Arabidopsis thaliana: one gene and its partners. The protein of the gene in region 1 interacts with the protein of each later gene in a pairwise test. Each region holds a gene or a part of one and is shown on either strand. Other genes may lie near its edges.

What was found.
Region 2: the proteins of GRXS17 (region 1) and RGLG3 interact in a two-hybrid assay, tested with the Arabidopsis thaliana proteins (one study listed by BioGRID).
Region 3: the proteins of GRXS17 (region 1) and AT5G09830 interact in a two-hybrid assay, tested with the Arabidopsis thaliana proteins (2 studies listed by BioGRID).

The regions. Positions count from the first base shown.
Region 1 is NC_003075.7:2,515,161-2,524,093, reverse strand, and holds GRXS17 (thioredoxin family protein), read left to right. Parts: upstream 1-4,031; 5' UTR 4,032-4,169; coding exon 4,170-4,340; intron 4,341-4,422; coding exon 4,423-4,497; intron 4,498-4,991; coding exon 4,992-6,212; 3' UTR 6,213-6,498; downstream 6,499-8,933. Other genes in the region: ALN (allantoinase), read left to right, coding at 35-120, 202-261, 361-500, 589-715, 799-954, 1,027-1,137, 1,213-1,323, 1,462-1,560 and 1 more; AT4G04940 (transducin family protein / WD-40 repeat family protein), read left to right, coding at 7,042-7,167, 7,250-7,277, 7,412-7,512, 7,606-7,809, 7,918-8,161, 8,544-8,719, 8,805-8,887. UniProt on the Arabidopsis thaliana protein: May only reduce GSH-thiol disulfides, but not protein disulfides. Participates probably to the maturation of iron-sulfur proteins and to the regulation of the redox state of the BOLA proteins.
Region 2 is NC_003076.8:25,606,271-25,613,290, reverse strand, and holds RGLG3 (Copine (Calcium-dependent phospholipid-binding protein) family), read left to right. Parts: upstream 1-3,984; 5' UTR 3,985-4,264; intron 4,265-4,303; exon of another isoform or gene 4,304-4,364; 5' UTR 4,365-4,374; coding exon 4,375-4,443; intron 4,444-4,522; coding exon 4,523-4,607; intron 4,608-4,693; coding exon 4,694-4,834; intron 4,835-4,919; coding exon 4,920-5,033; intron 5,034-5,112; coding exon 5,113-5,290; intron 5,291-5,367; coding exon 5,368-5,473; intron 5,474-5,550; coding exon 5,551-5,669; intron 5,670-5,784; coding exon 5,785-5,935; intron 5,936-6,037; coding exon 6,038-6,094; intron 6,095-6,201; coding exon 6,202-6,285; 3' UTR 6,286-6,520; downstream 6,521-7,020. Other genes in the region: SAL1 phosphatase-like protein, read right to left, coding at 1,489-1,658, 1,759-1,912, 2,004-2,319, 2,439-2,644, 2,742-2,815, 2,922-2,997, 3,224-3,289; AT5G63960 (DNA polymerase delta subunit 1), read right to left, coding at 6,619-6,706, 6,812-6,899, 6,977-7,020. UniProt on the Arabidopsis thaliana protein: Possesses E3 ubiquitin-protein ligase in vitro.
Region 3 is NC_003076.8:3,057,103-3,062,614, reverse strand, and holds AT5G09830 (BolA-like family protein), read left to right. Parts: upstream 1-3,789; 5' UTR 3,790-3,845; coding exon 3,846-3,905; intron 3,906-4,489; coding exon 4,490-4,512; intron 4,513-4,600; coding exon 4,601-4,799; 3' UTR 4,800-5,012; downstream 5,013-5,512. Other genes in the region: AT5G09840 (Putative endonuclease or glycosyl hydrolase), read right to left, coding at 645-1,533, 1,703-3,588; AT5G09820 (Plastid-lipid associated protein PAP / fibrillin family protein), read left to right, coding at 5,235-5,512. UniProt on the Arabidopsis thaliana protein: May act either alone or in interaction with glutaredoxin as a redox-regulated transcriptional regulator, or as a factor regulating Fe-S cluster biogenesis. The GRXS17-BOLA2 heterodimer binds a labile, oxygen sensitive iron-sulfur cluster.

The DNA.
Region 1 (8,933 bases):
TGTGCCCTAAATCTTTGTTTCCATTTTTCTCCAGGGTTCTGGGGAGGTCTGGTACCTGACAATGCACTCAACTCAAGTGCTCTTGAGTCTCTCTTAGATGCTGGAGTTCTTGGTCTCAAGGTAGATATCAATCTATCATGTGTCCTATAAAGCTGTGGCTTGCTTTTCTGTCTATAATGACTTGTCTCAATCTTTGTTCAGTCCTTTATGTGCCCTTCAGGAATCAACGATTTTCCAATGACAAACATCACTCATATAAAGGTTTTGTTTCTTGAGTCTTATGATCCTTCTCTCATGATTCAATAGTTATTACAAAAACCTCATTGGCCCTTGTCTCGCTGATACTGTTTGTTTATGCAGGAAGGACTATCTGTATTAGCTAAATACAAACGACCATTGCTTGTACACGCAGAGATCGAGAGAGACTTAGAGATTGAAGATGGTAGTGAAAATGATCCTCGTTCTTATCTGACTTATTTAAAAACCAGGCCTACTTCATGGTGAGATATTGCATCTTTTCACTCTATATATATAAGTTCCTACAGAGTCATCATTGTACCTGAAAGGAATATTTATTTGAGCAATTAGGGAGGAGGGAGCAATCAGAAACCTATTATCGGTTACTGAAAACACAAGAATTGGTGGTTCTGCAGAAGGAGCTCATCTTCATATTGTACATTTATCTGATGCCAGTTCTTCCTTGGATTTGATAAAGGTATTCAAGAGTTCAAGCAGTAGAAGCACTAGAATTTGGTTGTATCTCATTACATATTTTTTTTGTCTTTGGATGGAGTAAAGGAAGCAAAAGGCAAAGGAGACAGTGTTACTGTTGAAACATGTCCACATTACCTAGCTTTCTCAGCCGAAGAGATTCCAGAAGGTGATACTCGTTTCAAATGCTCCCCTCCTATACGTGATGCGGCAAATAGAGAAAAATTGTGGGAAGCTTTGATGGTATAATATATATTTTACGCAATCTTTGTTGTGATACCTTACTCGTTGATTCTGAGGTTTTGATTTGATTAGGAAGGAGACATTGATATGCTGAGCTCTGATCATTCACCTACAAAGCCTGAACTCAAACTTATGAGTGATGGCAACTTCTTGAAAGCTTGGGGTGGGATATCTTCTTTACAGGTTCGTTTAGTCTTAAAAATGTAATATGTAGAAACTGTGAGAGCACAAAAAAACTCATGGAAGAGCCAATTGCAGTTTGTTCTTCCTATCACATGGTCTTATGGAAAAAAGTATGGAGTAACGCTCGAGCAGGTAACTTCTTGGTGGAGTGATAGGCCTTCCAAACTCGCTGGACTACACTCTAAGGTTCGTTATTATAAAAAAAAACGCAGCTTCAGTATTCTCTTTTTTGTCCATACACAGCACACTGGCATAATATAGACGTGTTTTTATTAGGATTCGGGGTCCATTTATCGCAGCTTATAAGTAATGGTTTAATTATAGGGAGCGGTTACGGTTGGAAAACACGCAGATCTTGTTGTGTGGGAACCTGAAGCCGAATTTGATGTAGATGAAGATCATCCAATTCACTTCAAACACCCTGTAAGTACACAGTTTTTTCTAGAAAGATAGCTAATGGTTAAGCTCGAATAACACGAATGTGTAATCTTTATGTTATGTTTGCTTCTTGTGGTGTACAATAGAGTATCTCAGCTTATTTGGGAAGAAGATTATCAGGCAAAGTGGTTTCGACATTTGTGAGAGGGAACTTGGTTTTTGGAGAAGGCAAGCATGCTTCTGATGCTTGCGGGTCTCTGCAACTTGCAACTACTTAACTTAAAAAGGGATTTAAAAGATCTTGATCTGCACCATTTAAACAAATGTAAATATGCGATTAAGAGTTGCTCTCATGTTGCAAGATGGTTGATGTAATGAGTGAGTCTTTTTTGCCAATTGTAAGTTTAAGACTCTCTAAATCTTGTTGTTGGCTTTAAGGTTAGTGGACTCATGTATATATTGTTGATGCAAATAATTTATATCGCTTAAGTAAATGATGTATATATTGTTGATGCAAATAATTTAAAAGTATACATAATATTTGCATTGCTTGTTGTAACTAATGTTAATTTGAGTCAACTAAAAAAAAAGATGTTATCTTTTTAAATCACTTTTTGTAAGTGTTCTAAGTATTTGCATCAGTTTATCAAAATCATATATATGAAAGTTGGTCAAAATCATATATATTTGTCATGTGTCTATTAAATAATTAATGTAAGCTCTTCAACTTCTAATTTATAGGTTAATGATACATTTATTATTTATTTTTATATTATTTTATTTTACATATTTAATGTACTATTACTAAATTTATTTTAATATTACATGATTTTTCAATAAAACCATTTTAATAGTTTTTTCATACTCGAATATTTTTTTTGTAATCCAAACTCAAAGTATGAGTATATAATAATCATGGATTAGTTAGTGATTTGAGTAGGTTATTCTCTTAAATTGATATTTATATAATAAATCACCGAGGGTGTAGAATACGTACAAACCTCCATCATTTCGTCTGAACCCTCATTTTGCGCCGATTCTGTCAACAATGGTTGGAGGAAGAGGAAAACCTGGAGGAAAGGGAAGACGCAGTGTGAAGAAACAGGAAGAGAAAGAAGTTGAACGTGGTAGAGATGAGTTTTTATCAAAATCAAAAACTCCTCATCCAAAAGGATTTCCTCCAATGCAAGATCTAAGCACCAACGTGGTCACTAATAGAGGTGGATTGCAGCCTATGAAGGTAATGTAGTAGTATATTGTTCGCTTTTTGTTAATTGTTTTCGGATCAGTATACTTTTTTTTCTTTTTTCTTAAGGAATTGTGGGATGTAGAATATGTTCACATCCCTAAGAAATTGAGCTTGAAAACGGTTCTTGACAATATGAAACAAACTATGGCTCAACGTGGGTTCTACATCCGATCTGTAGATGCTTATGTTCGGAAAAGGTTTCTCACCGAGAACAAACCCCTTATTAAACGTCTTCGCCGATCAGACGTGAACATAATTGAATCACAAGAATACCCAGAGGAATATCTAGGTAAGACCACGTTATATTTATCAAAGTTTTGGTAACCTTAATGACGTCATTAAAGAGTTTTGTTTTTGATTAAATTTTTCTAATGGCATTATCATGTAATTAATTACAAAAATAAAGGTTACATTTAAAATGTACTTCCCAAATAATATAGTAGGATAATCGATGTTAATTAAATAAAATGACTTTCAATTAATTGTTTTTAAAAAGTATTATGTAATTTCATTAATTAATATGAAGGCAAACTTTGCATACTAAGTTTTATATTTTTTTACACCACCAAAAAACCAAGGTCACTATATGTAAGAAAACTATGAAACCTCTTTTTTTGTGGGAGAAATGTAGGATTTTGACAAATTAAGTAAACATTTACATCACATTTTATAGTCGATGATTAGTCGTTAACTAGTATCAGTTTCCATTGATGTAAATTTTGTATCATTTTAAATAGTGATGTTACACAAAAATTAATAGATGCATCAATTATCTAAATGATGTAAGCTTATATATTATATCATTTAAAAAAAAAGATAGTATAATAAAATAACTAAAAATACAAATGCTAAAATAATTGTGGATTTTTAATATAACAGAATTAAACAATTCCACACATACAAAACAAAGGAGAAAAAAAGAATTGTAACCTAATTCTTAGACTGTTTTATGAGAATCCAATTCGATGAGGATTGATATATACAATTCCTCTAATTAGTATTAATTTTAGAAAGAAAAAAATAGGATTAAGATTTTATTAGTCAAACTTACTTTTAGTAGTTTTAATTTAAATGTATCTAATATTTTTCAAAATTATTTTATTTTTAAAGATTGTTATCACCTAGAATTTTAACATTTTTACCTTACTTAATTTCCAATTTTTTTTTCCTTCCGCTGACATATATAATTTTACTATTTTTATAAAAAGAAATTACATAAGTGAGCAATTTTAGCATCACATTGGGCACACAAAAACCCTAATTGTATCGTTAGGTCCTTTTATTTTGTTATATTTACATAAATCTCCTTTCTTTCTCCAGCAACAGAGTGTATTCTGCTCGATAATAAATTGGTAAATCACAACACAAAAAAAAAGTGTTAAGAGATCCTTCTCCCTCTTCGAAGATGAGCGGTACGGTGAAGGATATCGTTTCAAAGGCGGAGCTTGATAACTTGCGCCAGAGCGGCGCACCAGTCGTGCTTCACTTCTGGGCTTCTTGGTGTGATGCTTCGAAGCAGATGGATCAAGTTTTCTCTCATCTCGCTACTGATTTCCCTCGTGCTCACTTCTTTAGGGTTCGTCTCTGTTCTCTTGACCAATTCAAAATTTTATCACTTTCAATGAGGTTTTTGACTGTTATTGGTTTTATCTTCTTAGGTTGAAGCTGAGGAACATCCTGAGATATCTGAGGCTTACTCTGTTGCTGCTGTGCCTTATTTCGTCTTCTTCAAGGTAAAGTTACGTTTTTTTTGTTCCCTATGATTTGATCAAAACTTAGGATTTAGGGTTTTTGTTTTTGCTTAAAGTTGTTTGTCTAATTTGGTAGAAGAAGAAGACATTGATGAAGTCATACTTATTGATTCTTTATGTTGCTTTGTTTGGTTGCAATTTTCTGTCTTTATAGCATTGAGAGTGTGTTCAAAAGTTTGAATCTTTGTCCCTATGTTTTGATCGAAAGTTTAGGATTTAGGGTTTTTGTTTTGATTAGTTTGCGTCTCTGTTAGATTACTGAAAGCTGTTTATCTAATCAGGTAGTAGAAGAAGATGGTTCGCCTATCCATTTAGCTCCAGACTTATTGATTCTTTGTTTTAATTGGTTGGTTGCAATTTTCTGTCTTTATAGGATTGAGAGTGTGTTCAAAGCTTGAATCTTTGTCACTGCACTGTAATGATTGTTCTGAAAGTTGTTACTTTCTTCTGACTGTGAATTCGTTTTCTTATTGAAGGATGGTAAAACTGTGGATACACTTGAGGGTGCAGATCCATCAAGTTTAGCTAATAAGGTTGGCAAAGTTGCTGGTTCTAGTACTTCTGCGGAGCCTGCTGCTCCTGCAAGCTTAGGGTTGGCTGCTGGGCCAACGATTCTTGAAACTGTGAAGGAGAATGCGAAAGCTTCTTTACAAGACCGAGCTCAGCCTGTATCTACCGCCGATGCTCTCAAGAGCCGTTTGGAAAAGCTCACTAATTCTCACCCTGTCATGTTATTCATGAAAGGTATTCCTGAAGAGCCTAGGTGTGGGTTTAGCAGGAAAGTAGTTGACATTTTGAAAGAGGTTAACGTTGATTTTGGAAGTTTTGACATACTATCGGATAACGAAGTGCGAGAGGGTTTGAAGAAATTCTCTAACTGGCCAACGTTTCCTCAGCTGTACTGCAACGGAGAGCTTCTTGGTGGAGCTGATATCGCAATAGCGATGCACGAGAGCGGTGAACTAAAAGATGCTTTCAAAGATCTTGGGATCACGACAGTTGGTTCAAAAGAAAGTCAGGATGAAGCTGGAAAAGGAGGAGGGGTTAGTTCAGGAAACACAGGCTTAAGTGAGACCCTCCGAGCTCGGCTCGAAGGTCTGGTCAATTCCAAACCAGTTATGCTGTTCATGAAAGGAAGACCAGAAGAACCAAAGTGTGGGTTCAGTGGGAAAGTGGTTGAAATCCTCAACCAAGAAAAAATCGAGTTTGGGAGTTTCGATATCCTCTTAGATGACGAAGTTCGCCAAGGCCTTAAAGTGTATTCAAACTGGTCAAGCTATCCTCAGCTTTACGTGAAAGGCGAGCTTATGGGTGGATCAGACATTGTCTTGGAGATGCAAAAGAGCGGTGAGCTGAAAAAGGTCTTGACCGAGAAAGGGATCACTGGAGAACAGAGTCTTGAAGATAGATTGAAGGCACTGATCAATTCCTCGGAAGTAATGCTATTCATGAAAGGTTCACCAGATGAACCGAAATGCGGATTTAGCTCCAAAGTTGTGAAAGCATTGAGAGGAGAAAACGTGAGTTTCGGATCGTTTGATATCTTGACTGATGAAGAAGTAAGGCAAGGGATTAAGAATTTCTCAAACTGGCCAACTTTTCCTCAGCTATACTACAAAGGTGAGTTAATTGGAGGATGTGATATCATTATGGAGCTAAGTGAGAGTGGTGATCTCAAAGCAACTCTATCCGAGTAAGTAATATATACAAGTCTCTGTCTGCTGGTTTGCCTTGGTGAGAGAGAACATTTCAGTTATGGTAATAATATGTTTTAGGTGTTACAAACATTGATATTGTTGCTTCTCAAGCTTTGTCTTGTTATTTCTATTGCTGAGTCTATTAGATTCATAACTATTTTTCTCTCTTTGTATCAACATAATCTTTATTTATGGTTATCTTGACCACATTTGCTTTTAGACTGAGTAACAAAACAAAGAGTGGTTTAAACAAAGAAAGCTTGATCCGACGGCTAGGATTAACACCAATCTTTCTATGTTACAGAGTTTCTTAAGATCCGACGGCTGGGATTTTGTGTGATTAAACTCAAATTTCTTAGAATCAAACCGAATGGAAATCATTTGTTTAGAGTTTAGACCAAACTGCAATCGAGCATTAACCGAGACTTTGTACATTTAAACAAGATTTAAACCAAAAGTCATCATAATTTTAAAATTGATACTGATATTGACAATTAGTTAAATATTAAACTAAAATGGTTTTGGTTTTACATTTCAATGACTTTTAGCCAAAACCGAACCATAATTTTACCAAACCAAATTTAACATTCTCCAAACCAAATAAAGAACCTGTATAAACCGAGCGGACACTTAAACCGGAAAATAAAATTAAAATTCGGACAAAGAAATTTCGTTAAACCCTAAACCCCAAAGGTCTTGTTTGCTGTATCTCCTCCATCGCTCCTGCGCCGCGTTTTCTCTCTCAAGCTCTTAAAAAACCTTTCTTTGATTTGATAATCCTAAAATCGTTTTTCCGAGGAAACCCTAATTTCTTGTTCGAACTCGAAAGATGGGAATTTTCGAACCGTTTAGAGCAATAGGTTACATAACGAGTACGGTTCCGTTCTCCGTCCAGCGATTGGGTACCGAGACTTTCGTCACCGTCAGCGTCGGCAAAGCTTTCCAGATTTATAATGTAACGCTCCCAATCTTCATAGTTTCACTTGCGTGTTCTTTATTCATTCGATTCTGTTGTTAATTTGGTTCTCTTGTTGCAGTGTGCCAAGCTCAATCTAGTCATAATCAGTAAGTTTTTCCTTCTTCTGAAACCTAAAGTTTTGTCCTTTCAATCATTCTCTTACTCAAATTCATGCATTTAGAATTGGGTTTTGTCTATGCAGTGTAAATTTTCTTATAATCTAATTTGTGTTATCTTAAAGGTCCTCAGCTTCCAAAGAAAATTAGAGCTTTAGCTTCTTACCGAGACTACACATTTGTTGCGTTTGGCAATGAAATCGCTGTCTTTAGGCGTGCTCATCAGGTATATCTCATTGTAACTATAGTTAAGTTGCTGCTTTTTTTATATCTATGAGTACTTTGTTTATAGTTGGAATTCTTGTGGGTATATCTATAGGTAGCAACTTGGAGCAAACATGTTGCTAAAGTTGATCTTCTACTGGTGTTTGGAGAACATGTGCTTAGTCTTGACGTGGAAGGAAATATGTTCATATGGGCATTCAAAGGAATCGAAGAACATCTAGCTCCAATTGGAAATCTTCAGCTTACTGGAAAGTTTACCCCTACCTCTATTGTTCACCCAGATACCTATCTCAACAAGGTGAGTCATACTTGGTTCAGGATTTCAGTTTTTTTTCCCCTGGTGTCTTCTGTTGACAAGCCTTTCTAACTCTTTGCATGTTTCTCTTACTTGGAACCACATTGGTAGGTTCTTGTAGGGAGCCAAGAGGGTCCGCTGCAGCTATGGAATATTAATACTAAGAAGATGCTCTATCAGTTTAAGGGTTGGGGTTCATCTGTCACCAGTTGTGTTTCATCCCCTGCCCTGGATGTTGTTGCAATTGGTTGTGCTGATGGAAAGATCCATGTACATAACATAAAATTGGACGAAGAGATCGTAACATTTGAACATGCCTCGCGAGGTGCTGTTACTGCTTTGTCTTTCAGTACAGGTAAACACCTAAGCCCTGTAGTTCTATTTGTAAAATCTTTGAGCGCTTCTTGGTTTTATTACCTTTTAAATCTAATTTCGTAGCGGATAATAGTTTATCAATCTTTTCTTGCTGATAGATATCCTATGAGTGTAGTGACCAAAAATAATTTCGTCCATTTGTCTTTAAGTGGAGCTAAATATTTATTTTTCCATTACATAGCTTTACCATCTATGCACCCATTGTTTCATGAATTAGAATTGTCCATACATGTTTCAGGCTCAAGAGATCCATTAGTGTAGGTTGTAATTTTACTAGTAACTTTTGGTAGTAACCGTTCTATAGCTAATGGAAGTTCGATACTTTCCAGTTCTAACATGTGTTGTTTATCCTGTCATGTTAGATGGACGTCCCCTTCTTGCGTCTGGAGGTTCCTTTGGTGTCATAAGCATCTGGAATCTTAACAAAAAAAGGCTTCAGTCAGTCATTAGGGATGCACATGACAGTTCTATAATCTCATTGAACTTTTTAGCCAATGAGCCGGTGCTAATGAGTGCATCAGCAGATAACTCACTTAAAGTAAGCTAAGATTCCTCTTACCCGTTGAACCTATTTGCATCCACTTTGCCACATATAATATTTGTTTTATGCCTCGTTCCTGTAGATGTGGATTTTTGACACAAATGATGGTGATCCTCGCCTATTACGCTTCCGATCTGGGCATAGTGCTCCTCCTCTATGTATCAGGTAATTAGCTTGACGTCCACATCATACTGAATTATCTGATTGCTTC
Region 2 (7,020 bases), on another chromosome or scaffold:
CTCTGAAGCAACTTCTCTTCCCAATTTTTATTTTGATTTAGAAATATACGTAATACTAATAAAATAATAATTAGTTGATTGAATATAGTTTGGTTTTTGGTATTTAAAATGTATTTATTTGCCAATCTCTCTACCGTTGTGGAAAAGTAGGCAAAGTATAGAGTCCCCTACCGTTGCGACAATGATAAGTTTCTCTCACGTTGTCTCATTCCTCTCTTTATTTTGTTTATTATACTCACCAAAATTTTATACTATTTTTTAATTAATAGTTTTATTTTTATTTTATAATTTTGTACATTTTAAAAAGTTTTATTATTATTAGAATACTCTGCAGATTTCAGATGGCATATTGCAAAACTGCTATAATCCAAATGAGGAAAACATAAATACATGTAAACAATCCAAGAATGAATTGGTCCAATAGGAAGATATTTTCTTAGAGAGAGATATTTCATTTTATATGAATTCAGATTTTTATATTTTATTTAGTAATATATATGTAATTTCGGTAAGTTTGCTTTCTTTTTGTAGGTGAAGATAACAATCCTGATTAATTTTATGTTTGGCAAGAAATAGTATATGATTCTCAACTTTCTAATTAAATTATTTTGGGTTCGTTGTATTTGTTTAGTCTTTTCTGATATGCTTTTATTCCAAAGAGGTTATATGCTTCTTCTTCCTTTTTCCCTCTTCTTTTATACTAGCTTACTAAATTAATAATTAGAGGTATGCTAATCTTAATTAAATTATATTGCAAATTGCTTTTATAGATATTGTAAATGACGTGTGTACCTTTTGTGTGGCCAGGTCTTGTCAAATCTTTCGCTGAAAACAGGTTATTGTGTGTTATATCAACAACTTATCATTATTAACACAAAATATCTTTGTAACATGGATTAAAAACAAAGCAGCTAGTATATATTATTCACATGAAAAGATTAAAAAAAATTGTGCGACTAGTAGATTTGTGATCGCCCCTTTATAAAGTTTGACTAGATCACTAGACTACATTTAATTATTTACAAAGTCTCAACGATTCCTTTCATCGTGAATGGGATATTATTGGGAATAAAATCACGAATTTCTAAAAGTTGCACAATAATATATATTTTTTTGTAAGATGGTACACAATAATATTTTAGTTATACTATAACCAAAGAAAAAAAAAAACTATTTACACCATATTAATTATTTCTATATGAAGAGATTTTCTACTTAACGCGCTTACTTTCGTATTAAGATAAAGTATCTACGCACTGTAGACACGTACGTCGGTGCATCATGCATGTAACCCTTAAAAGGCCTTTTTACGGCCCGTTACTGGTCCATATTAAATTCTCTACATAACCCTTTATACTTAGCCCAAAACAGAATTTCATTTTTATTTCTTTTTCGAAAATGGAAGAAATTCTCACTGGTGAAATTCGGTGAAAGAAAATGAAACAACAGTTACAGAGAAACAAAGAACGTACGAGAGAAAAAAACAAATCAGAGAGCTGAAGCTTTCTCTTGCTCAGCTATGGAGTCACGAACTGCTTTCAAAAGCAGAGGCATTAGCTTCTCGTTAGCAACGATAATGCCTGTGTCCAAATCAAGATACTTCCCTTTCGAGAAATCCAGTGGCTTTCCTGCTGCATCTGTCACTATTCCACCCGCCTCTGCACCAAAAAGAAGAATCAACCTTGCATTCCTTATCTATTTACATCCGCATGTCGACACTATAAAATTAGCTTCATAGAGAGTAAGCTTTAATGTTACCTGTAACAACTATAGCACCAGCGACATGGTCCCAAATCTTTTCGCGGTATCCTTTATGAGGAAACCGTAAGTATATAGCTCCATCTCCTCTTGATAAAGCTCCATACTTTGCTTGGCTATCAATACGGACTGGTGGAGCTTTGACACCGAGTTTCTGTATATTACAACATAGAACATGATCAAATGGATGAGGAAAATTAGTTAGCTATTAGCTGGAATCACATGGAAGGAAAGAAGCAATTTACATTGGCAATGGAGCTGGATAAGTCATGTAGAGAGTGAGCTCCTTCGAATGACTCGAAGAACGATGCCTCTTCAGGATTCTCAACACTAGAGACTTGCACTTTTACAGGAGAAGATTTTGAATCTAGGAGCTGCATATATGTCCCTGAACCAATTGTAGCAAAGAAGAGGCATCCAATTTCGTCTGACGAAGATTTGTTCTTGTTGTTTCCTGCTATGGATGCTAACGGCAAGTTTGGACAAGCAAGCACACCTAAAACTACTTTCCCTTCCTCGAGCAATCCTAGTGCTACTGCGTATTGATCTCCCCTCAGAAATCTAAAATCATGAAAATGCTCAGTGTCAGGAACATAACATCTGACTCAACATTCTATCAAATTTACATTTTCTCTGAAATAAGAAGATTTGACTTTAGGCTAGTTAGTTTTAAAACGTACCCTTTAGTGCCATCAATTGGATCCAAGACCCAGTGTCGACCATTTGGACCACCTTCAGATGTTCCACAGTCAATGGCTCTAAGTAGATCATCAGTAGACAAAGTAGAGCCATTAAACGATTCCTCGGTAGCCAAAGTGTCGTTCACGAGTTTTGTGATGCGCTCCAGAGTATCCTGAGAACCATCCTTGCGTAGATCGCCTGAGTCCTATATAGATCATTTTAGACAATGTGAGTCCATAAACACAAACTCAAAGATAAGTAAAGTGTGAGACATCTAACAAGGATTTATTAAGCAGTTTCACCTCTTCAGCCACCAATGAAAAGGGTTCAGAACTGAGCTCTTTTTCTAAGACTAAACTAACAACTGCTTGTGAACCTGAAATTCAACACAAGACAGATCAAATTAAGTGATTTCCTAACAATCTCAGTAACATTCAAAGAGAAGAGCTTTTTCTAATCAGGGACAGGTATAACAAACTAACCATAATCAGCAACGGTCACTGGACTTTTATCAGATTTTGATTGCACATCTGATTGCAACAAAGCCTTTTGAACTTTCTGAAACAAACCCAAAACACAAAGATAAGATTTTGATCAAAGATTTACACGAGCTTCGTATGTAGAGGACCATTACACTATATCACTAGAATCTATTCCCAATTACAGATGCAATGCACAATAAACACAAAATGTTAAACGAAATTTGGAAGATTTACAAAATGGGTTTCTTAAAGAATCAAACTTTAGAATCTATGGGTCATGATTGAATCGAAAAAACCCTAACCTGACAGAGACGAGCAGCGAGTGAAGCAGCTTTCTTAGCAGCATCAAGCTCTTTCTCGTAAGCCATCGATGAAACAACTCTGAGAGTAACAAATGAAGGAGAAGAAGACTTGCGTCCGAATACAGAAACGAGACGGTTCGATGAATTTCTAGGTCTCGAATTCGTTCTTACTGCTACAAATGATTGAAGCGGAGCCTTCGCTGTTCGAAAACAATTTATAGACATCATTCGCTTTTCAAGAAGATAAATATATGTCTTCACATTTTCTGATTGCAGAGACAATTATTATTACTTTTTTGAATTTCCCATTTACACCAGTGTACTTATTTATTCTCTGAACTTAAACCCTAAACTTTATTTTAGATCAAGAAAGGCCATATTTGCTCTGTTGGTTTAGGGGTCCATGTGGCACCAATTGAAAGAACAAGTACAAACGGTGAAAATCATAAAAATAAAAAACTTTAGTGATCTTCGTAGATTGGTTGTTGAGTTTTGGGCTAATCGCACGTGGATGTTGTGGTTGAAACATAAGTGAATTTATAGGTGGTGAAGATACAAAAAGGCTTCTTGATGAATGAAGAAGCCCAATAAAAACGGTTCTGGGTTAATATATTTTGAGGGAATCAAAAGCCCAAATAATTTTCTTCAGACAAGAGCTACAGCTTTGCCACGTTGTCCACATGAATCATGTTGAAATTTGGTCTATGATTTTGGGTTATGGATAAATCATTAATGACGCAGAGACAAGACTAAAAAAGATTTCTAGATTGATGATGGCGTGTGAGAGAGCAAAATACGTTTTGATTATTTGCCGGCGCAAGCAAAGGGTCACGTTCCACTAACTTTCAAGATTCAACAAAACCCACTTTCTATAGTTTTATATGTTCATTTTTTTCTGCTAAAGTATTTTTATATGTTCATATTTCTCTTTTGTGCCATCTTTTTAATAATTTAATCTTCCTACAGAAGATAATCTCCAACAAAAGTTTTTTCTTACAAGAAAGATTCCGAGAAGTCTTTTGTGTTTTCAACAAACTCCAGGTTGATATATACTTGCCACTTGTGTAACTGTATCTTTTATTCTTGATTTTGATTGGTTTCTTCTCCAAAGATTGGATTTCTGAAGGTTCTTGTGCTGCAGGGTTTTTTCAATGAACATGAGCAATAAACGTAATCAGCAACCTTCGTATATTGCTGATCATTTCAGCAGTTTGGATCAGGTCTCATAAACTTACTTAGTTATTTCTTGATTTTAGTCTCTTTCATAGTGATGAATTTCTTGTGAACTTTGCTTTTTAGGTGATAACTTCTCTGAGAGAAGCTGGACTTGAATCTTCAAATCTGATTCTAGGAATTGACTTTACCAAGAGCAATGAGTGGACAGGTAATTATTTGATTTGATAAAAAATGCTACACATGTTTACGAAAAGATTCAATGGTTTTGGTTAATGTTCTGAATTTTCATTGCAGGGAGATATTCATTCAATAGAAAAAGCCTTCATGCCATTGGTAAAAGACAGAATCCATATGAGAAAGCAATATCGATTATTGGTCGTACTTTGTCTCCCTTTGATGAAGATGATCTTATACCTTGTTTCGGTTTTGGCGATGGTTAGTTTCTTATTTCTTGCTTTCAAGATGAATGAATAAGATAAACCAAAGTTCTTAATGGTTTTATGTTTTCTTCTTCCTGCAGTAACAACGCGAGATCAATATGTATTCAGCTTTTATCCCGAGAACAAAAGCTGCGACGGATTGGAAAACGCAGTTAAAAGATATAGAGAGATTGTCCCACATTTGAAGTTGTCCGGTATTTTTGAACTTTCAAAAATGGAGCAGTTTTGTTCTCTCTTATCGTAAAGATTAATCAGTGTATTCTTCCCTCACAGGTCCTACCTCGTTTGCACCGGTTATTGATGCTGCCATCAACATAGTTGAGCAGAACAATATGCAATACCATGTTCTCGTCATTATCGCAGATGGTCAGGTCACAAGAAATCCAGATGTGCCGCTTGGTCGACTTAGTCCACAGGAAGAAGCTACTATGAACTCGATAATGGCAGCGAGGTAAAACTATTCAATAAGCTCATATTCATGATCAGACTTCATATGTATACTAATGATGTTTGATATAAATTTTCCAGCCATTACCCATTGTCGATAGTCTTGGTTGGAGTAGGAGATGGACCATGGGACACAATGAAACAATTCGATGACAATATTCCTCACCGTGAATTCGATAACTTCCAGGTAATATAATAAAACCCTGAATAGCTCTGTTTTGTTCCTGAAACATGAATCATGAAAAACTGTGTTTTGTTCCACAGTTTGTAAACTTCACGAAGATAATGTCAGAGCACAAAGATGCGGCTAAGAAGGAGGCTGCTTTCGCACTCGCAGCTCTCATGGAGATCCCTTTTCAATACAAGGCTACATTAAGTCTCAAGTAAATGCAATAAAAAATTTACCGTTGGAAACTACTTGTATCACTCACTGTTTATGGTCTTATTGCATTAGATTCTTTGCCAACTAAACCAACCTTTGATTGTGCTTATGAACAGTAGAAAACCAGTGCGCAGTTCCCATCAGCACCACAAGCCACTCCCGCCACCACCAGAGGTTATAGAGCGTGACAATGCTGTTAGATCGGTGCCAAATCAGATGACAGAAACTGCAGAGAAAAGTGACAGACTCGCTCCTTCCACAGTGCCGGTAAATACTCTATTATTTCTGCCTTTGTTTCTGTTCTTTTGTCAATGAGTATACTCAGTTTCTCTGATACTGAGATTTACATTCCTTTTGTTTTTCAAAAAGGTATGCCCGATTTGCTTGACGAATCCAAAGGACATGGCTTTTAGCTGCGGTCACACGGTATGTGAAAATTTCAAAGGAACAATTATACTCTTACTTGTTCTATGAACTGTACTGCTTCTAGATCGATTTTGTGACATCTCCGATACTTTTTATTTCAAATAAAGACATGCAAGGAATGCGGAGTTGTTATCACAACATGCCCACTATGCAGACAACCAATAACAACAAGGATAAGGCTGTACACTTGACTCGGAAAAATTCTTAGAGATGAGACAAATTATATGGTTAAGCACTTGAGCTTCATGTTTATACTTCTGTAGAACATTGTACAGTCCAAGCAGAAGAATTGTAAAGCATAAATCTCGAGTTGTAGTTCATATGTAATTCTTAGCCTGCCGAAACAAGGAGATATGCGAGAAGAGTTCTCTTTTTGTATTAATCAACAGCTACGTACAAATAAGCCGAAGAGGTCCTTTTTATAACATTCCAAAGAGACCTACAAGTTCTAAATCAAGCGGAAAGTGTAACAGCAACGATACCAATGGAAAAAAGAGAGAGCTAAAAACAACCTTAAATACTTATTAGAAGCTCCAACGGTCGAGTTGTTGCCTGGCTACAGCCATGTCTTTTTGTGCTTTCATTCTCCGGTAAAATATTGGACAATCTCGACTGTAAAAGACCAATAAGAAATCCAGAAAGGAAATTGGATCAGAACCTATTTACCTGCTGAAAGATTTCTAAAAGAAATTGATATCGATAAAAATATAAGCAAACCTGGTGCACAAGACATCTTGATGAAGAGAGCCTTGACACTCCTGGCACTGTGTCCACAGCCTCCCAAAAACCTCTTCAAGCTCAGCCACTGAATAACACAACGAAAGTATCAAATTTTATAGATATATCAAAGAGTCTATAGGAAAGGGAAAAACGGCAGCATACCTTGAGACACGTTTTTGCAATATAACTCGGCTTCTCTTCCCTTG
Region 3 (5,512 bases), on another chromosome or scaffold:
GACAAAGATGATTCACCAAGCAACTCCACATGTATGTCACAACATTTCATTAAATACTTTTCTCTTACTCCTATTTAATAATTACTCCTTAGATACATCTTTCTGACAACAATTATAAACTTTTTTAGAATTACTAAAATGAAACTACTGGCACAAATTGAAACCCCCGAAATTTTCATTTTTTATTTATAAAAAAAACTGTATAAACATTATGGTCAACAATAAATTATATACCAAATCTAGTTTTGGTTTGTTAACTATTTAATACCTAACTTATAACCAAAAAGCATGTCATTATCACTTTTAAACTCTTCATTTAATCTAATCGAATAAAATGTTTAAATAACTCCATCTTTTATGGAGTACATTTTATTTTTCTATTTCTATTCATTCATTCCGTGCTTTACACATCAACGTTGAAATTAAGAACCAAAATTTAATTTAAAAAATCACGTAATACAGTAAAACCTATCAATAAATGCATACGATGCGACTTGCCACTGAAAAGAGTTTGAACCATATTAATCTTATTTCTCCTTAACCGGATTCGGTTTACCATAGACCAAACCCAAAACCGGCTTCAACTAATTACACTCAATTCCTCGGGAGATTGTTAATTAAACAGTAAACAACCCTCTGACTCACTAGACTTCTGAATCTTTCACAAAAGAATACGTCTTTGTAGGCTTTTGCTTTCTACCGTTGCTTACAAGCTTCCTCTCCACCGGATTCTCCTTCAATTCTCCATCTTTATTTGTGTAATAAGAATCCAGAATTTGCAATAACGAGCTCTCTTTACCTTCTTTACTCATCATCTGTTGCTTCTTCTTCTCTGGGTTATCTCTCTCTGAACCAGAATCTTCTTCATCCTCTGAGAGTGATGGTTCATATACTGGAAGCTTTTTGGTCGTCGGGTGGGTAGTTGTTGTATCAGAAACTGGACCAAGTTCTGCGAATGCCAAGTCCGAATCATCTTCTTTTGACTTGGCATTTGGTGAAGGAGTTGAAGGAAAGATGTATCCAGATGCTATTCTCACTCCATGCATGACTCGAATCAGAGACTGCAGGTTGTCGTAACCGAGCTTGTCAACCGCTAAATGGTACCCATACTCCTCTAAGAAGTCTTTCCTGAAACGAATCAGGCTATACCCTTCAGGGTGTTCCTCTGTTATCTTCTTTATCATCTTCTGACAATCCGCTATTGCATTACTTTTGTATCTTTCCAGCTCTTTCCGGTCCACAGAACCAACAGAAACTCCAGCATGAGCAACGTTCTTGCCGCTTTTCTCACCATTTTGTTTCTGCCACTGTGATTTTGAAGAATCCGAGAAGATTGAGCTCAAACCGTTTGAAGCATGACGGTGGCCAGGGCTAGATCCTTTGATGATTCTGAATGGTAAAGAAGAAGATGGGGTTTCTTCAATCCATTTCTTTTCTGATATTAGCAAAGTAACTAAATGAAGCATGCTTGATTCATCGAGCAGTCTGAGACACGAAGGCCCTTCCTCCTGCACATTTTTAGCCATCACCTCCCTGACCAGGTTAAGACGGAACAGCATTAGCTGAATACTCGTCCCAAAAAAGACAACAAATGGCTAATGCAAGAACCAATTGTAATAGTTCTGAACCTAAGATAGATTTACATATTAATCAATATCTAATCAAAGTCCTGCCAAATCAGGAGGGAAGAGAATGTACGCACCTTGTCCTCGAGTGAGATACTATAGCAAAGCCTCTTGGAGAATTAATGAAAGATTCAATATCACTCCAAAAATACTCTTTTGCAAATATGTCTTGTACTTGAGAATCAACATTGACAAGCTCCTGATTCCCACTAGAGTCTTTGCTAGACTTTGTATTCTTTCCCCAGAACTTGAAACTCTTCAAAAGGCGACCTAAAAAGCCTGGACTTGCATCTTTATCTTTACTGTCTACGTCATCAGCTCCAACTTTTACCTCATCGACCGACTCAGCAACGAAAGAAGGTGAGATTTGAGACATGGGCACAGTTCCCTGACTCGATGACTTTAAGTCCTTATCCTCTTTATGTTTGTTTCCACTTCCCTGACTTGATGACTTTAAGTCATTATCCTCTCTATGTGTGTCTCCACTTCCAGAAACGCTCTTCATTTCTGGGAGATGCTCTAATTCCATCTCAGGTGAACCATACCACAGTCTTTTTAGCTTTTGAAAAAAGCCATCTTCCATGGACGAATCACTCCACGCAACAAGAGCGACTTGATTCGTCTCGACGGGTTTAACATTTGCCTTAACATCCTTCTGGCCGACCAGAATTGGGTCTTGAGAACTCTCTGATGATTCTTCTTTAACAATTTTATCACTCTCCAATACCTTTTCCTGCTTCTTTCCAAGTAAGCCATCTCTTCTTCTTTCAGCAGCAAGCTCTACATCGCTAATTAGCTTTGGTGATGGAGCATTAACAGTTTCCTTATCTTTAATCTTCTGATCAACAGCAGTAGACAAACGAGGACTAGAATCAAGCCGCATCGGAGGCTTCTTTTCGGTAACAGCCCGAATCATAAACAAGCCTTCACTTACTGTAGTAACCTGTAAGATATCTGGCATGGATAAAAGAAACTTCGAAAACTTCTTATGTCCATAGAAATCTTTATCAATAGCCAAGTTGCTCTTACTCAGCTCAGCACGTAGTTCTGTAATGGCAGCCCCCTTGGGATATAAACTCACTATCGAACGAATCTTATCAACAACTTCTTTTGGAATAGGACGAAGGTTAACAACAGCATTCGAATTCACAGACTCGGATAGTTCTTCGATTTTCACACTAGACGAAGATTGCTCAGTAGTGGTAGCAATAGCAAATGGATCAAGAAGAGGAATCCTATAGTGACCATACCAAGAGTTATAAGGACCATCAGGAGGCTGATTAAAATGCTTACCAGTAACACACTCTCCTTTAATCAAAGCATCCCAATCCCACATAATAGAAGCAGCACTACACAAAACACCAGGAGCTGATGATTTACTCGCAAGCAAAATGTTGTAATTGTTCATCCTCAATCTATGTAACACACTTGCAAACTCCTTATCACTAGAGATTAGCAAAAGATGAGCTGGTGGTGGATTCTGAGAAACCCAACACATAAGATCTGTGATTAGAGATCTATCAGCACTGTTCTTACCACCGTTAGGAACATGAGTGAGACTGATTCCTGTAGCGGAGAGAGCGTCTTGGTTTGATCTGGGGAGCTGTAAAACGTCACCGAAGGCTGTGATTGTGATTGGTCCTTTGATTCCGCTGTTTCTGATAGCGGCGGTGATTGATTGTGCTACTTTGTAGACATTGGTGTCTACAGGTAAGTTACAGCTCAGGAAGTCCCACCAGACCGAAACCCTAACGGATCGGGACTCTTCGTCTTGCTGAGGACGTCGAGAGGGAGAATGGCTGGATCCGGAGACGAAATTGGAGCCGGAGGTGGTTGTGGTGGAGAATGGAGAGGAATGAATGTTAGTGATGAAAAGGGTAATTGTTCGACGGTGAGATTGGGTTGTGGAGGAAGAAGAGAGGCGGAAGAGAAGGGATTTGGATGGTAAAGATCCAAACTTCATGGTCGGAGAGCTATTTTTGCTCCGGGAAATGGAGAGACTGAGAGGGTTTTAGGAGTGAGGAAGACGAAGTAAAGGAAAGCAGAGCTTAAACCCTAGTTATTATTTTGGAATTGTCGATAACCGAATGGTATCCCAATTGAACCAAACTAAACCGTACTCTCGCTAAACCAAAACCAAATAGCGTATGGTTTAATATTCTAATTCAATGAGTACAGTAATTAGGGATTTCAATTTTTGTTTGAGAGAGAGAGAGAGAGATGGTGACGAAGGAGCAAGTCGAAGCTTCATTGACTTCGAAACTTAAGCCAATTCATCTCGTGAGTGTTCTTATACTGCTTTCTTCTTTCAATTTCATCTATTGATTAGGGTTTGAAACTTTTGTGGGAAACTTTGAAACCCTAATCATCAAATTGATCTGGGAAAATTGCCAAATTTGAGATTTTTGACCTGCTCACTTTGATCAAAATCATACACTTTGATAGTTGGATCATAAGAGGTACTATGTATTGTAATAATCTCAGCATCTAGATTATACATCACTATGTGTTGTCTTTCAGCTCTGAAACAGAATATAAAAGGTGGTTGTTTGCGTAGTTAGGTGTAATTTGATGCAGTGTGATACTGAGCTCAGGATTTGATGACGTAGTGTTCCTGATGTATTAGCAACTTAGTAGTGAGTGTTCTTGTCGGAAAATTTTATTTGTGTCATGGTTTTTTGTGAACTAGAACTCAAAAAGCAGATCCAAGGATGTGTATAGTTTCTTTGCTTTATAACATGTGAAGATTGAAGTTACTTCAATGTCAATCTATTTCCCTTTTCACTTGATTCATGTGTTCCAATTGTTTCAATCTTTAGCTTTTAGAATTTTTTAGTGACATTGTTTGTTTTTGTGTGTACCAGGAAGTCATTGACATATCTGGAGGGTAAGTACCGGATTGTCAATACACATTTGATTCTCTGGCTTATGGCATAATTTCTTGTTCTTAATATCAGCAAAACTGTTTATTGCAGTTGTGGTTCGAGTTTTGAAGTGGAGGTTGTCTCTGAACAATTCGAAGGGAAGAGATTGCTGGAGAGGCATCGTATGGTGAATGCTGCGCTAGAAGAAGAAATGAAAGAGATTCATGCTCTCTCTATTAAGAAAGCTCAGACTCCACAACAATGGAAGCCACCATCACAAGACTCTGCAACCTTAACCAAAGATGCCTGAATTTCTGTTTTTTAAAAGCCTTGTGACAAAGAACAGAGCATTTACTATGTTGATACTTTGTGGTTACTGTACTCCGATTACTGCTTTTGATGAAGTGTAAACACTTTTTTAAAACATATGCAATTGGTTGCAAAATATAACAAAAATTGGGTTTTTCTCAATTTAGATGGAGATTTTTTTGAGAATTTTACCATGACACCATCTTAAAAAAGAAAAAAAAGACCAATGGGATTGGCTAAATTTTATAATAGAGTCAGTGCAGTGTATGGTGGGGGGGAGAGATAGATGCTAAAAGATGGATAAAATAACCAAAAAAAACTGTCCATTCTCCTCCCCATAAATCTATCTCTCTCTCTTTTTCCTCAAATCCCATCTTCTTCTTCTACTTCTTATTAAGCTCCATTGGGTTTAGAGATTCTGGTGTATAAACTGCTAATGACGAGTAACCTTTTCCAGCCACCATCAATGGCAGCTTCACGAGGAGCAATCTCGAGAAGAACAGGAAACGTGAAAGTATTAGTCTCTTTCACCAGTTCTAATGGCAAAACGCTGAGTTTTAGTGACAACTCATTTAGGCTCAGACCCATGTTCATCGGGAAAGTCACAGAACAGAGTTCTTGTTCCTCCCCAAATGAACAACAACAAGATGAAGAACAAGAACAAGAACAAGAAGAGATTACAGTTTCTCATATAAAAGAAGAGCTCTACGAAGC